2 linked regions of the Lepisosteus oculatus genome follow. The protein of the gene in region 2 purifies or fractionates together with the protein of the main gene of each other region. This does not show direct contact. Links are inferred from orthologs where the notes say so. Each region holds a gene or a part of one and is shown on either strand. Other genes may lie near its edges.

Region 1 (7,934 bases), on a different chromosome or scaffold from region 2:
TGACTTGCCTTTCACACTAGACACAATATTCCATTATGTGTGGAAAGCTGGTTTAAAGACACTGTCCCCTCCTGTCAATTTCAGTCAAGGAGTGCTTCAGGAACAGTGTAACACAGGTCATTTTTCAGCCAGCTGCTCTGCTGTCATTTTCTGAACTGGCATGCACCTGCAATAGGTTCCAGGCCAAACAGAATCCAACAGGCCAATGCTAGAATCTGGTGACTTATTAACGCTATATCTCAGTAGGTCAATGCTTTAAACAAGCAACAGAACTAACATTTTTTGCACTACTCAGCAAATTACCAAGACTGTAGTCTGGTAAAGTTCTGTCAGAACAATTCCATTGTTCTCCTTCTATAAAAACACTGATTCTAATGAAGGTCACTTTTATATTATTTTTAAAACTTTCTATAAAACTTTTATAGTCAAGTGTTAAGATTTGCCTTTAGAAACCCAAAGGCAGAATTTTCTATGGACCAAAAAAGTTTGTAAACAAACTGTGTTCTTAAATGATGCTCACTATATTCTCTTATCTATATTTACTTAACTCAAGCTCGAGACAAAGTATTCACTTTATCTCAGTCATTGTAGTTCTACATCAAAAAACAACGGAGGAATTCTATAGCCATTTGATGTATTTACATATATGAGCTGTTCTGAACTACACAGACCCAGACAGTCACAGTTTGTTTTGACTCTAGGTAGATTCAATAATAAACCCAAGAACTAAAGGGGATTAATCATAAACACTGACTAGAGAAAGCAGTATTAAAATTAATCTCCATTGAAATTAGAGAAATCGAAAAGTACACAACTGTCCAAGCGCATACAGAAGAACTAAGTATGAAATTTGCAGTTAGTGCAAAAACTATCCCAAAGTTAAATTAGTTGTATAGTGTAGCATCAAACCTATACAATGAAGAGGTTAGTAAACAAAAACATTACGGATTTGATAAGTAGATGGAACGATTATCCAAATTCCATCGTGATATTCTTATATTTTATATGACCCGGATAAGCGTGAGTTTAAGAAACTCAGAAATAACAGTATCTGTGTGACGTTGACAGCTGTATGTAATACTGAGCGCACACAAACTCTTGCAACACCTGATTTCAGAGTTTCGGGATCTGCCTCTTTCGCGTACAGAAAGTAAGTTAAAAATTAACTCCCACAAAGCACAAGTGGGCACCTTGAAAGACACATACCACTACACGGTTAATGTCATCCAAACACTAACAAGACAGAAACGTAAAAAAACCCCCGACTGGGCAACAGATAAATAATGCAAGTAAGAACTTATATATACCCAAGTAAGAACTTAACAGGGCAGTATCTAAAGACCATCCGCAAACATGTTGTAAGACAATGTACCTCAAACTTTCATATAACCTTGCCAACAACGAATGAGAAGAGATTTAAAAGTTATTGATCAACCTGAAGAGGAAGACAGCGTCATTCACAATAGCCAAAGGGGAGTCAGGAAATTGGGGAAACTGTTTACATGCATATCTAATAGTTAAAGATGTTTAGTCTAAGTATGGCGAATTGTCTTGCTTTTCAGCCTTTGAGAAAAGGGTTGAGAGAGCAGTCCAAATCGAAAAGCCAATAATCGCAAAGCACTCAAACCTCATCTGTGGTTACCATCAGTTCATCTAAATAAAATTCCCTCAACAACGGGATTAAAACTACACTGCTCAGTTAACGTGGAAAGTCCCGTTACAGAGGTTTATTTAGAGGAAGCCGATTAACGTGGGCTGTTGACAATTCATTAATTAATTAACAGTTATCAGGTTACAAAACCTAAACTTATTACACTCACCCGCCGTAATGTGCCTTAATTTGCACATATTCCAGGTGCATGCTCATCACGGATCCTTGTTTGGTAGGCATTGTACTCCAAAAATATTAAATATAAAGAGCCAATACTGTAATCCGACAGAAGTGGGGTAGCAAATACAGTACGTGAAACAGGATCTTCTGTTGTTGGTTCCCTCCGTGTTAACGACTACAACCGACAGGGCGAATTCAACAGGTTGCGCTTTTTTTTAAAAAAAAAAAAAGGTTAAAAATCTCATTTATTTTCTCCCCGATTCTGTATCATGCTGCCGTCTTCTAGGAATTCGGTCACCTGTCACCTGCCTTGGTTACTTATTCCGCGACACAGTAGTCAGAGGGACACTGGCAAGTCTGGACTGGCCTTCCTCAATTCCACCTGTTGTGTTGCTCCTGAAACGCAATTACTCGAAACACTAGTACGGTACAGACACTACTGTAACTGCCGGACCCACATAATAATGAGCTGCTGTATTTAAAGGAGGACTCTATAAAATCATAAAATCATTCATTCCCCACAGGATGGAAAATACATTTTCCGCTTGAGTTAGACACAAATGTTCATCGCGTTAACATCCAGCTCAACATTAATAGATTTTACGCAGTTAATAAATGATCTGAGATGACGTACGTTGCAATATTATATTTAGCTTTAATTCAGCAGTTACACTACACTCCTACAATGGCTTGTTAAATGATTGCGCTAAAGAGGACAAAATAGACATATTAGTTCAGCATGTGAAGTGTATAACTGGAAAATTAAATTAGGCTGAACTGGAATTTAGTCGTGCACTTCCAAGTTTCAACTTTTTATTCCAAAAATCCATGTTATTCCAAGACGTCCGTCACCAGAATGTTGTTCTGCCTATCGGGGGGGAAAAATACAGAAATCTGTTGATAACGTATTCATCTGAAGTTAGTAAAACTGTAACATTTACCGTCCCACGACAGCTATCTTACTGAGCAAAGTATAGCCAAATCAAAAACTTCAGGAAACCAGTTAAAAAACAATTCGGTGCTTAAAAATTCTCAGAAATGAGTTTTTAGTCCCGGTAGTTATTGTTTTTCTCGTGCATTGCTTGTATTTATTTCGATTTTTGTATCGTTTTCTTCCCAGCTCGCAGCAATCATAAACAACTCCAGAAGTTTCTGTTTAGACGGCTTCTAGCGTCTCCCGGGAGGATTGAGGGAACATGGCGGAGAATTCCAGAGCCGGAGCCAATCGGAACGATGGAGTCACACCTGCTTTCCAATCCGGGAAGAGCAGGCAACACCTGTAGCCAATCCAAAAACTCGTGGGATTACCCCCGTCCAATTGGAATTCCGTTCGGGATTTACCTGAATTAAAAAGTGAACGGAAAATTCCTTATCCAATCAGACGACTGTTGGATTTACCTGTGTCCAACCAAAAGCCCGCAAAACAGAACATATTGAACAACTCATATCATGCATTTTTCTTTTCCATAGCTGCTAAATATAACAGGACAGAAGAAAGTTCTCTAAGCATTTATTTAAAACCAATTCATATCTTGGTTTGGACATTCGTTGCGCATAATGCATACAAAACGAAGATCTATAGTATCCAAATGTTTTGAATACATGCAATGAATTTAAAAAGGGCAGCGATAAATTGCCCGTGCGAGGACGTTACAGTCAGCAATAAAATGTCGTTTTGTCTTATTTTGACAGGTGGCATTTATACATTGGATGCAAATAAGAATGCATTGTTCAAGTGCGGACTGCGCACAACAAGAGAACGTACTTTAATGAGCTGCTCTAGGAAGGTCGTGCTGTACAAAAGGTTTTATGTAATCTCAGTAAATCTTAATCAGGTCCAGATCTGTAATTATAATGCCTCAAGGTGTTCTAAGTGAGGATTTCTAGGGTGTCTGAAATTTACGAGAAGAGTTCCACATAAAAGCAGAGGTCCTCTTACAATTGCCGTTTGCGCCACCTGCGGTGTGAACTGCATATAACACTTAAACCAACAGTCTGGAATAAAAAGCCGTTCACAGTGCAATTATTTTTTATTTCAAACAATAGAAAAACCCGAGAAATACAAAAAAAACTCCATACATATTATTTTCCTGTCTCAGTTCTTACATACATATTCAGAGAAAGTACAATATGTTTCTTCTAAAGTAATGCAAATTACGAAAATATAAAGGAATCCAGTGTTAGTATAGAATCTAGTATGTGCTTATTTTTAATAATAATAATAATTATTATTATTATTATTTTTTATTTTAACATTTTATTTCACAAAAAATACACAAAAATGCTACATACTTTTCTAAATTTAACATTCACGTGACCTTCAGTTCTTTTTCAATTTTTGCACCTCTTGGATAATCTGGTTTCCCTAAAGTTCCCTCTTAATTAGCGAAGTAATTCCTCTTCTCCGCCTGATCTGTATTGGGGCTGCTGACATGTAGTATTGGGCATCACCTAGGAGGGTGCCCAACTTCAGTGATGGATGTAGTGGACCTACTTCAGTGAATAAATGCCATTAATTATTATTAGTGTGCTCTGACAATGCAACACTGGATACAACCCTCCATCTAAAGAGAAGTACGATGTAAGAAATGTCTTCAAAATTAAACACTTAGTATTAGTGGATTCTATATGTTATAGGTAAATTGGTTACATTTAAAAATGTCCATTCAAGTTTGGCATAGTTTTGAAACATGGGGATTTAATCAAAACAATTTAATTTCCAATTGAAAGTAGGGACCACATTAAATGAGAAGCTGCAAATTGCAAATCGATTAACTAATCTCAGCTTTCTGCTTGACAGAATGTTCTTCTTTCTACCCTCCATGAAGAAAGAACATGGAATATATGAATAGAGTGTGGATTTAATCTAAGCCTAGATAAGAAACCAAGATATACAGCTGAAGGGGTATTCATGCACTATTTATGACTGTGTTCATGGATACAATTCTATTCAAGAATGATGTTGACTGTTGAGGTACATTACTTTATGTCACACAATCTCTTTACAATATATTTAAATAGCTTTGAAAGCACATAATTAAGACTTCTGAGTTTTTAGTTTGTACATCAAAAATACAAGTAAAACCAGAACAACAACTATGAAAACAACAAGTATGGTATGCTGTCTTGATACGGATGCATTACAGTTTACGTCAGTGGTTGAATTTCCTCTAGACAGGACACCACCTGAACACCTTGAAAAGACAAAAGAATACACACACATGATACAAGAATAAACCAGTATGAGAACACATCAACACAAGAAAAAAATAACATTTGGTTTTCGAAGCCCTGCTACTGTATTATTTTATTCTCATCTGCAAACTGTTCATCGTCTATCCCTATTGATTTCCACAGAAGAGCTGTTGAAGAGGCCAAGACAGATACTGATTCTGGTTCTACATGTGCTTTTACTAAACTAGACTTCAGGCATATACTTCATACAGGTACTTGATCTTTACTCCCCCATGAAGAAAGAACTTGGAACATATGAGTGTGAGAAAAGTTCTGGATTTAATCTAAGCATAGATATCGAGCCCTGGTCTAAAACTAAAAGGCCATTCACCTTCATGAGCTATTTCTGACTCTGTTCATGACTGTAGGATGTAGTTCCTTAATGACTCCCGGTAATCAAGATTTGTTAGATAGCCTGGATATCACAGGTTACAATCCATCTTCCTGTTATGACAGGAAGGCGTTCACCACAATCTAGTACCAGAATTCTGGTGGGTAGTGGCAGTGTGACTGGGGAGTATGGAAAACATGTAGTCAGTCCTAGAATCAGCTGCTTCTACTGTATACGGAATATCTTTTCTAAGATGCTGCACTGGACTGGAATGGGTTAAACAGTCCTTTTGCACTTCCTGGTCTGGGGGAAAAACCATATACATGGAGAATATATTATTTCAACCAATTTGTCTCTGGTTGTGAAATACCACGGGTTACAATTTTCACTCAGCTCAGTTTTCCCGGCACCATCCTGGTTTGGAACTGTACCTTCATGCCAAAAAACAGGAACATCATGATCTGTCCCTGTGCAAAAGCTCATGGATTATGTTCTTGGAAATAAAAGCACTCACAATTCAAAAGTGTCAAGATGTCAAGATGAGATATTGAATGTTCATAACATACCGCAGTATCAGTAAAAAAATAATATTAGTGCATTCATTTTGACATTATTTTACAAGACACCAAAAGAAAGATGTAGACACTTACACAGTCCAGGGTGTGCATGATAATGACATTTCTTCTGCTGAAAATGTGCCAGTAGGGCATTCTTCACAAATGGTGTCAGATTTAGCTGTTCCTGAACATATTAATAACACATAAGTTATGATTAACATGTGCATCCATTTCTTGTCTATTTATTCTTATTCAGGGTTGCATGCAGGGGAGCTGGAGTCTATTCTGGCAACCAATGGGCACACGCCAGGAGACACTCTAGACGGGACGCCTGTCTATCACAGGGCAGACAGACACAAATACAGGCACACACACGCACACACTCTTGCATGCACACCAAGGCCAGTTTTCCCAGACTCCCTTTAACTTATTATGTCTTTGGACTGTGGCAGGAAACCAGAGCTCCCAGCAGAAACCCACAAACACAGGGCGGACAGACACGGCACCCCTGGTCTGGAACTGAACACAGGGCCCAGCCATGTGAGGCAGCCATGCTAGCCACTCTGTCACCAAGCCATCTTATGATTAGCTTAAACAGTACATGATATAAATCAATAACCGATTCTTAGTTGACACTTGGCTTGTGTTCTGAAAGATCATCCGTGTATCAAACCAAATTAAAACAGACTGGTTACAAAAAACACATAAATAGAAGCAGAAAGGAACCAGGTTTCTGACTTACCATTCTGCTTAACCCACTGTCCTGGCTGACAGACGGAGTGTTTAGGACACAGGTGGCATTCTTCACTGCTGCCGTCCACACAGTAGAAGTCTTTCAAGCAGTGGCAGACAGTGTTTTTCACTTTGGTGCAGGGGGACTTCACAAAAAGACCCAGCTCTGAGCACAAGATAAGTGTTTCAACACTCTAGCATCGTGTCAATAATTCTGAATTACACTTGGATCATCCGGGGGGGGTAACTGAGAAGATCCCTCTATTTCTAATCCTAGCTACAATTATAAGGCTGCTGAGGATATGAGCACAGAACTGAACATTTTTTACTTAAGCTGAAAACTCAGGACAATAACTAGGACAAATAAATGTTCTATTGTTAATCTATCACAACCCAAAAATACAGCATAAGCACATTTACTCTAGACTGTACGCACGTGTGATTGTAAACACATGGCTTTTAAAGTTAGCTGACCTATTCAGACAACTGTATGATGAAAACTACATCATGTGGCAATGAAACTAGATGAACATATGTCCACTACAGTGTGATCCCTCCTTGTGTCCATGCAATTTTTGGAGTCATTATTCTTCATGAAACTAAGTTGATGTCTCCTTGCACTGACACTCTCAGGATGGTATACTATTTACTCTGTAAAAGCACATTTTGCTACAGTTACATTTTGTTAGGTCTGGTGTAGTCAGAACTAAAAAGCAGACTTGAATTAGTAACCACACGGATTACACACAGTTTTATCAACAATCACTGAAACTTTACATGGCACCAAACTAGAGTAAGGTATTTTCTTTATATTTCTCTGCTTTGCTGCAAAGGTTATGTTTTGAGAGCACATTCCACCTCCCCATGAAATACACCCCATGAAGATAGTTTTTGCTCACCTGAGTCACAGACTTTACAGTCTAAGCACTTTGTCAAGCCATTGGGGTGATCTATGTATGTGCTGTTGGAACAGCTGGTGCACTCTGTATCACTGTTTTGTGGAGAGCAGTGCTGGGAAACACGACTGCCTGAAAAATGGAACAAAATTAAGGAACAAATCCCAACAATGTTTTAAGCCCTGTCTGGTTAAGAGGCAATCTGGACGACTGTTTGTTTTCCCAGTGCTGAAATGCAAATTAAGCCGGTTTTGTTTGTTTTGAAACTCCTGCTGTTCTGTTTTCTGGGGTTAACCAATTCACTTCAACATTTCAAAAATTGAGATTTCAAATCAGAACCATGGAAGAGAAGC
Region 2 (8,002 bases):
AGTGGGTTGGAAGCTGACCTCTCGGACGGCAAAGATATCACTCTCCTCTTCTCCCTCGCCGTGGCCCACCTGGACAGCAAACCCGGCCCGTTAATACCGCAATTAATCGCTCCTTTGTTATACTTTATAGTCCCAGATGGGAAATTTGCTTTCCAAGTGGGTAACACAATACATTTAACAGAACACTAACCCATTAAGAGACATCCATGTATGATAAAAAGGGAAAAAAACAAAACAATATATATATATAGGTATTAAAATAAACAGTTAATTGACCAAATAACTGTGGGAATAAAAGATAACATAGTTCTATTGCACTTGATTCTATGATTATTTCAGGTGAGTCCATATGCGACACATGAAATAATCACCTGTGCAAACCATCAACAATGACTGTTCACTTTCTGAGCCATGTCAGCAACTCCTGTTGAGCCCAGTGTGAAGATCAGTGCCCATTCATGAATGACCAGGGCAGAGTACCGAGAGACCCACCTCATCTTCGGGATAATGGCAGTCAAACACCAAGGACTGGTTTGAAGCCTGTTTCGCCACCTCCACGACAAAGTTGGGTGTTGACACAATTTCAGGCTAGAAGAAACACAAGGGGAACAATCACATAAAGACCCTGGTTATATCCCAGTGCCCTTTATGAGAGAAGTCTACCACTCACGCCACCAAGACCTGGACTCTACACAGGCAGAACCAAGTGCACGCTCACCTCGTTTTCGGAGGGCTTCTGGCCCTGCTCTGGCTCCTCATCGAAGGTGGGTGGGATGCTGTTGTTGATGTTGAATGTGACCGACACCCTGCAGCGTTGAGAAAAGACAGAAGGAAATAATCAGCATCCTGGCAAGAGGTCAAAGCATTAATCTCAGCTTGAGGCAACTTAAGTCCTTGATAATATTTTGGCATTTATCTTCATCTTTGATGATCCCCATTCCCTGGGTTTTTCCCCATCCACCTGTTTCCCAGCTGCTGCTTCCTTAGGTGAGCAGGTGCCTATCCCAGCAAGCAACAGGTGCAAGGAGGGGAGCTCCCTGGATGGGACACAAGCCTATAACAGGGCACACACATTTTTCTCAGAGGACAATCAACCCACCAGTGTGTATGAGGAAACTCAAACACAAATGCGGGGAGAACACACGAACTTCACGCAGTATCACCCCAGGACTGGAATTGAACCCAGGGCCCCATTGACAGCAATGCTGCCCCCCCCCCAGCTTCTTTTAATGTCAAATCAATAGGCTGCTGCTTCTAGACTTCTTCCCATTTAATGATATTCAGGGTTTCCTGTGCTAAACTGCATAAAACCAATAACAGCATTTGATGCTGACTGTTAAGAAAGGTTTTTGGTGTTTTAGCCATAAGCCATGTTACTTCACCCACCCAGTAATTACAACTCATGACTGCCCAACGTGCATGACTTACAACACACAACTCTGAGGAGGAATTCTGACATTCAGATTCATCCACTGATGAATAGATTCTTCACTTAAATAGTCAACCAGCTGACTTCAGCCAGATCCTGAAAGGACAGACTGGTTTAACACCTAACTAAAGAGGTGGATTGTGTCGGTCGGAAGGATTAGACGGTGTATTGGATGACTCATCTGATATACAAGGGAAGGTCACATCAAGACACCCTAAAGGTGGAGAAATTGAAATCAAATGTCAATCTTAATCTTAATTGAAATGCAGTATGGCATGCGAAGAGTGGGGTTTAAATTATTCAATCATCATCCTTTTCGGGGAACAAATTGCCTTCCCGGGGCTGACTTTGTGTGCCATGAGGTTCTGAAGAAAGGGTTCAACATTTCTCTTACACTTCTCCAGCGATCTTCCTAGTTAGCTTGGCTTCGGTGCCTGTGAGTTCCAGCTCCCAGCCCCCAGACATCTTGGGCAGCGCTGTGTGCTTCTTAATCTTTTTCTCTTCTTTAATCTCATCTGACAGGAATTCTGCAAATGCCTTGTCTCCTGGCAAAGAAATGTGTTTCCGATTATGCATTGTTAGTTTTTTTTACACAGATACAGAGAAGGTACATCACTTAAGTTTTTTTTTATTTTCAATGTAAAACTATAAAGCATACAGTAGGAAACTACCGATCTTGCCATGAAGGTGTTTAGATGTATACACAATACTCATAATTACAGATGGACAGTGCATTGAATGTAATGCTTCACGCCTATAATCGAAATATTGCACAGAAGTCTGGAGTGCTCTTCACAGCGTGTATCACTCTACAGAAATAACATCAAGGGCATGTGTGTCGAAGCATCATTACAATTCAACGTCCCGGATTTATAAAACAAAAGGTTTTTCAAGTCCTTCTTCGACACTTCACTGATCATGTGGGGATACTGTAGCCCCGAATGTCAAACCGGAATTACCGTTTGCAAAACTCATTTTAATCTTCTTGAAGGCCGTTTTTGTCCATAACGTGATTGTAACAAAACCGGTTGAACGCTGTTTGTAAGAAACACATCTGGGTTAACGCACACGAGCAGCATCAATCGTCCCGGATATACCATCAGAGCCCCAGAATCCCACAATAATTCGCAGGATTATTTCTTTATGCTTACCTTCCGTGTGAAGTCCTCCGCAGCCGCACGACACCGATGGGATACCCCGACTACTGCTCAGCAACCCCGGCCTGTGTTCCGATGAGGAGCCGCTACTGCACAGCATCCAGATAGAGCGGGTGAAGGGCCGAGCTGTTGCCGAGCTGGGAGCGCCGACAGCCGGCCGGAGCAGAGGCTCCAGCACCCGGGTGGAAGAGGCGGCTGTGCTGGTGGAAATACGAGTGGCGACGCCGAGGGCCCGGGTAAGAGACTTCAACATGGTTTCAGACGACTAAGCTAGTATTGAAGAAGTTTGACTGAAATCGGAGGTCACCCCCAAAAAAGCGTGCGACGGAATACCCTTCTCCCACTGATCAGACTCAAACCGCTAAGAAACTACTGGAAACCACGTGTCGGCAGAAAGGACGCTCTGACCTCCTCCTTCGCAGTGACCTTTTACCTTTGAACTGGAAAAAGATGTCCGTGCGCTATTAAAATATGGTCGTAGAAACGCATTAAGTAGAATAACAGTTCCGTGCTCATCTTTCTACCTCTGGAGTGGCTGGAAACTATTTATCATTACTTTTCCAGAGAAATATCCTAAGAGCTTTTCACCCGGTGTTATGTGATTTTTTTTCCCTCAACACTTTTATTTTTATCTTACAATTTTTATAATTTTAAAATCTAACTACATTTAAAATTGTGCTATAAATAGTGCCCTTTTCTAATACAAATACATGTGTATTGTGGCAAAATGTATTCTAGACGAACCGTATTCTTCAACTGTGCAACACAGCCCGTGTCCTTGTTTGACCGGTAGTTTGGATTGTTTTTATCCCATGTTCCCTTTTTCCTGGAATGCTAGTTTGAAGTCTTAAAAATAATGGTAAAATTTGAACACTTACAAAATTTAAAGCAAACCGATTGACTTTCGATTCATACTTTGTGTATGAATAGTGTAACCGCTTAAGACGTTTATACTTTTGTGCGTAACCCTAGACTGTGTGGGTGCAGGTCTTCAGTTTTGCTCCCTGAAGTAGTAAGGGTGTGGTATAAAGGTGGTACTGTGCCTTATTTAAACTAGGGCAAGAATGAGCAATTCTGGTCTTCCAAGAGCGGTGTGTCTGCAGGTTTTCATGCTAACTCTACTCCTAATGACCTACAGTACATAATCAATCCTCAGATTCTGGTGACTTAGAACATCTTGCAGACACACTGGTCCCCCTGAGACAGCGCTTTCCGCCCATGAAGTTGGTCTGCACCCCACTTCCCACATTATTATTACATAAAAATTATTACATCATTACATCTGCTCGTCTTTAAGGATTTAGAGACTAAATGTGTGGGATGTGTGAGCTGTTAAGGAAGAACTTAAGAAGTTCATATACAGTACACATGCAACACATATAGAAAACAAATTCTACACCACATTGTGTAGAAATAGTCTTTATTATAAATATTTTATTTTACAAAGCCTTGTGTCACTCATACAATTCTGTGCCCATCAAAAGAACCTACTCAAAACACCCTTTGCACCAATATCTGCTCTGAGGCTTCTTAGCCAAATCCTCCCATTTACACAGAAAACCTTCTGAACTTGTGTATTTTCTTCAAGAGGACATTCACCGTATTTCCTTCTGTAAATAAAATAATGAAATACAACAGTAACAACTGATCATCTGTCCTTTTCCCCAGCCTTGCTGTGGAGCATCTATTATTCTCACAGCTCTCATGACGCACAAACCTAATACTCACATTTTATATTCTCGTCCTGAAAGTAGTTCATGTCATACTTGCTCTTGACTAAGCCCCTCTTAATCAGCATAAACAGCATAGTTGCAACACTGCTGTTGTTATGACGTTGTGTGACAAATCCTTAACCCTGAGCAAAAACGTGGACCCACACCCTGACAACCCTTTTGTTCTAAGGTACTGAAGAGCCCACTTTAAAACAACCTACAATAGCTCAAGCCTCGAGAATAACCTTTCTCTTTAATTATGGAAACAGAATATCACCTTAGAAAAAGTGGACTGAATTTGTCTGGAGCTTAATTACCTTGCTTAAAACTCAATTCCCTGTGTTGTTGTCTAATATAGGTTCATTTAACTACATTTAACAACTTATTATTTTCACTTCTAAAACATGCACTGCAAACCTACTGCTACTTTACATGGGTAAATCAGCAATTGCTCAACAGTGCTGGACAGATACAGAGGGAAGTGAACACTAATAAACTCACCTATTTAAGAACCAGAGTGATTTTCTACTGGACCAGTGAACATTAGTGTAACAGATCTTTACACCCGAAATGTGTGAAATGCTACAGTGGTGTAAAGCCACTGAAAAGCAATATGGCATGCGATTAAACTATGAGTGACTTCTATTAAAAGTATTACCTGCTTTCCCAGAAGTTAAATATTGAAATAACAAGCAATTTAAGAAAAATAATGGTCCACCAGTTTAATCTACAATTAATGTGCAATTGTTCCCTCAGCTAAATATGTCAAGTCTAGGGTGGAGGTCAAAGTGAAGGTTTATCATTCTTTCTGTGGGTAATTGTTAATGCCATATGACGTTAGCTTTAACATGGGTTATTTGAAAATCTGGCCATTGTTCACAAAGTTTCAGAGATCCAATTCTCAGGTTAAAGGGAGCACGTGAGACTAAATATTAAAATTGGCAAGATCACAGTGAAACTATGTGAAGAAATCCGTGTTGGTTAAGAAGAATCATAACACGATTTACAGAAAAAAATAAATCTATGCCTCCGTCCCCAAAAAACCTAGGTTATCCTGTGACTTGACTCCTCCCTGGGTTTTTTGCACTGTATCACTATAAAGAAAGGAGGAAACTGGTCATGTTCCAACCAGTATTTGTAATACCAGCAGCAGAAGGCTTGCTAGTCAAACCATGTAAGCATTTTAAGGCCAAATGATAGAATAAGTAAAGAGACTTCCATTAACAATGAGTTTTTCAGGAGATTTCCAACTTGTTGAAGATGCAGAACAGGTAGTGGAGGAATGAGATGATTCACAATAATATCTGCCATTGAAAGGTACAATAAATGCACATCTCTTTATTGCTCCACAGCTCAGCAGTCTGGCTGTGAAGCTAATCATATTCCTATTTTTATAGCAGTTGGGTGTTTCTTGAAACTGCCAGCAGTCAAATACAAAAGCAAGGTTGTGCCAGACACATGAGAACTGTGGAAAACCTACCACTGTGGGGCTCAGTTCTTTATAATTGACTGATCTATCACAGCAACAGCCCATCTCTTCCAGAAAAGAATACAAAAGGTCTCATTGCATGGCTGAATTCATTGTCCAGGCTGGTTCTTAAGTTAATATTCGGTTATCTGCTGATGATTTAGCCCTGAGAAAGAGAAAGGAAGAGTAAAAAAACAAGGGAAAGCTGAGAGGTGACAGAACAGAGTCAGTGGAGGTCAGACGTTGTCCGAGCAGGCTGAAACTGTGAGTCATTTCTAGAGTTGTCTTTGGAGACAACCCCACAGGTCCCAAACTCTCACCACAAACACCAGACTATCTTTGTCACATCCGTGATACAGTGAGTTTTCTCTCTAAGGCCAAATGTGTTGCATTCCACCAACTGATCTTGGAACAAAGATGCTGTGTAAGCAGGCATCTCATCCAGGGTGTACCCTGCCTTGAGCCTGTTGCTTGCTGGGATAGGCTCCAGTTCCAACACTAAACTGAACTGGAAGAATTGGTTAGAAAATGGATGGATGGATGGATGCTTTGTAATCCAACAGTGTATGCTACTCTGTTACCATAGACTGTTTTTGGGTGAATGTGGGGTGAAAACAAGATGCTGCCTTGAGATCTAGTGCACAAGTTGCCTCTTGGTCGGGGGGGTTAGCTCTTGATCGCCCGGAGTTTGCGGCGGAAGTACTCGGGCGCAGCTTCGTGGAGCCAGTCCGGGTCCACCAGGCAGAGGTCCCGCATGTAGCACTTGGAAGTGTGCAGGAGCTCGTTGAAGACCACACAGGCCGGCTTGGCCTGGAAGAGCACGGAGGAGGGGTGGATGGCCACAGGCTGGTGAGTGTCCAAGGTCATGTACGTCCCGTCAGGCTGCAGCTCGGCTGCGTTCGTGAACAGCCCGTGCGCCAGACAGCGGCGGACATTTCCCATATCGGAGCGAGAGGACTCGGGGGAAATTCCCAGCTGCGTGCAGGGGGATAAAAATCCGGGAAGTTAATCAGACATTATGATGACAGGGGTGAGGCCAAGCGCATCTTTTTAACTCAAACAGCAAAACCAAAACAGATTTCAAATAAAATGAATGTTTTTTTACCAAAATAATAACCCCTAAATAACACCTCCTAAATAAAGTCTCTGACACCAAACTGCTCTGCTCTATTTTAATACTTTGCATTATGAGGTGCCCAACTCTCTAGTCATCTCCTGGGCAACACCTTTCTTTTAATACATTTCATAACAGCCAGAGCCCTTTTGATTGGTGACCACACATCCACAAAGTCTCATACCTTCACACAGATCTCTCTCAGCTGACTGCGAACGTCTGTCACCAGAGACATATTCCTGCTGTTCACAAAGTTCTCTCGACACCAATCCTGCAAAACGCGAAGGGGAAAAAAATGTAAAAAGTAGAATGGAAAGACAGCTTGGCGATACATAATACTGCAGATCAGCTCCTGCCAACCCTTTCAATATTGGTTTTGCCAGTTTGCCCAAGAAAGGTGTATCTAAATCCTGTGGGTATTGGAACGTTTGAGGACGCCCCCACCTTATTTCCGCCCACGTTCTTGAAGCCCCTGTAGACGTTGAGCAGTGTCATGTGGTCTCCCTCACTGGAAATGAACTTCCTACGCCTGGAGTAGACCTCCTCCCTCCGGGCAGGGGGGTTATAGAGGACACTGTCCACTGACAGGAGGGACACGATCGTCAGCACCTCCTCCGTACAGGAGAAGTCCGCTGACAGCAGGATTGTCTGGAGAAAAACAGAAAAGGGTAAGAAAAAAACACCAGGCCCAATTGAAAGTCTAGTCTAGGAGTCAATATGTATAACACTGTAAACATTCTCATGTCCTGAGATTCATTTGGGAACTTCAATTAGCTTTTTGTTTTTGTTGTAGTATAAAATGGATTGTTGAGAGATAAAACTTGGCTTTTTTCCAAAGCCAATTCAGGCCAAGGGAGAAAAAACAAACAGTTACATTCATATGAAATTTGCACTCCAGATTTGTAGCAACGAAGTTGTCCTTCACAGCACTCCTGAATTCCTCTTTTGGCATTTTTTGCTGCTGCGGGTTCCCCTGATCCATTGCATACAGCATGTGTTTAAGAGCTAACGGTGTTATGGAGTATGATCACTGAATAAACACTTGACCGTTTGTTCACCTTGGCAAACCTGGGCTCTAGAGGGAAACTGGCCATCTTCTTCCCTAGAGGAGTCAGGGTGACC

The links.
Region 1: the proteins of c1qbp (region 2) and prkcz purify together in Homo sapiens (affinity purification with mass spectrometry; 5 studies listed by BioGRID and IntAct, with this or other methods). This does not show direct contact. The link is inferred for Lepisosteus oculatus from reciprocal best matches to the Homo sapiens genes C1QBP and PRKCZ.

Annotation. Positions count from the first base shown.
Region 1 is NC_090720.1:3,964,395-3,972,328, reverse strand, and holds the start of prkcz (protein kinase C zeta type), read right to left. Parts: upstream 3,016-7,934; 5' UTR 1,892-3,015; coding exon 1,821-1,891; intron 1-1,820. Other genes in the region: uncharacterized protein, read right to left, coding at 4,869-5,025, 6,047-6,137, 6,696-6,851, 7,585-7,713. UniProt on the Homo sapiens protein: Calcium- and diacylglycerol-independent serine/threonine-protein kinase that functions in phosphatidylinositol 3-kinase (PI3K) pathway and mitogen-activated protein (MAP) kinase cascade, and is involved in NF-kappa-B activation, mitogenic signaling, cell proliferation, cell polarity, inflammatory response and maintenance of long-term potentiation (LTP).
Region 2 is NC_090721.1:3,224,419-3,232,420, reverse strand, and holds the start of c1qbp (complement component 1 Q subcomponent-binding protein, mitochondrial), read right to left. Parts: upstream 3,021-8,002; 5' UTR 2,840-3,020; coding exon 2,581-2,839; intron 1,975-2,580; coding exon 1,824-1,974; intron 807-1,823; coding exon 719-806; intron 589-718; coding exon 493-588; intron 70-492; coding exon 1-69. Other genes in the region: ATP-dependent RNA helicase DHX33, read right to left, coding at 6,433-6,741, 7,065-7,151, 7,325-7,528, 7,939-8,002.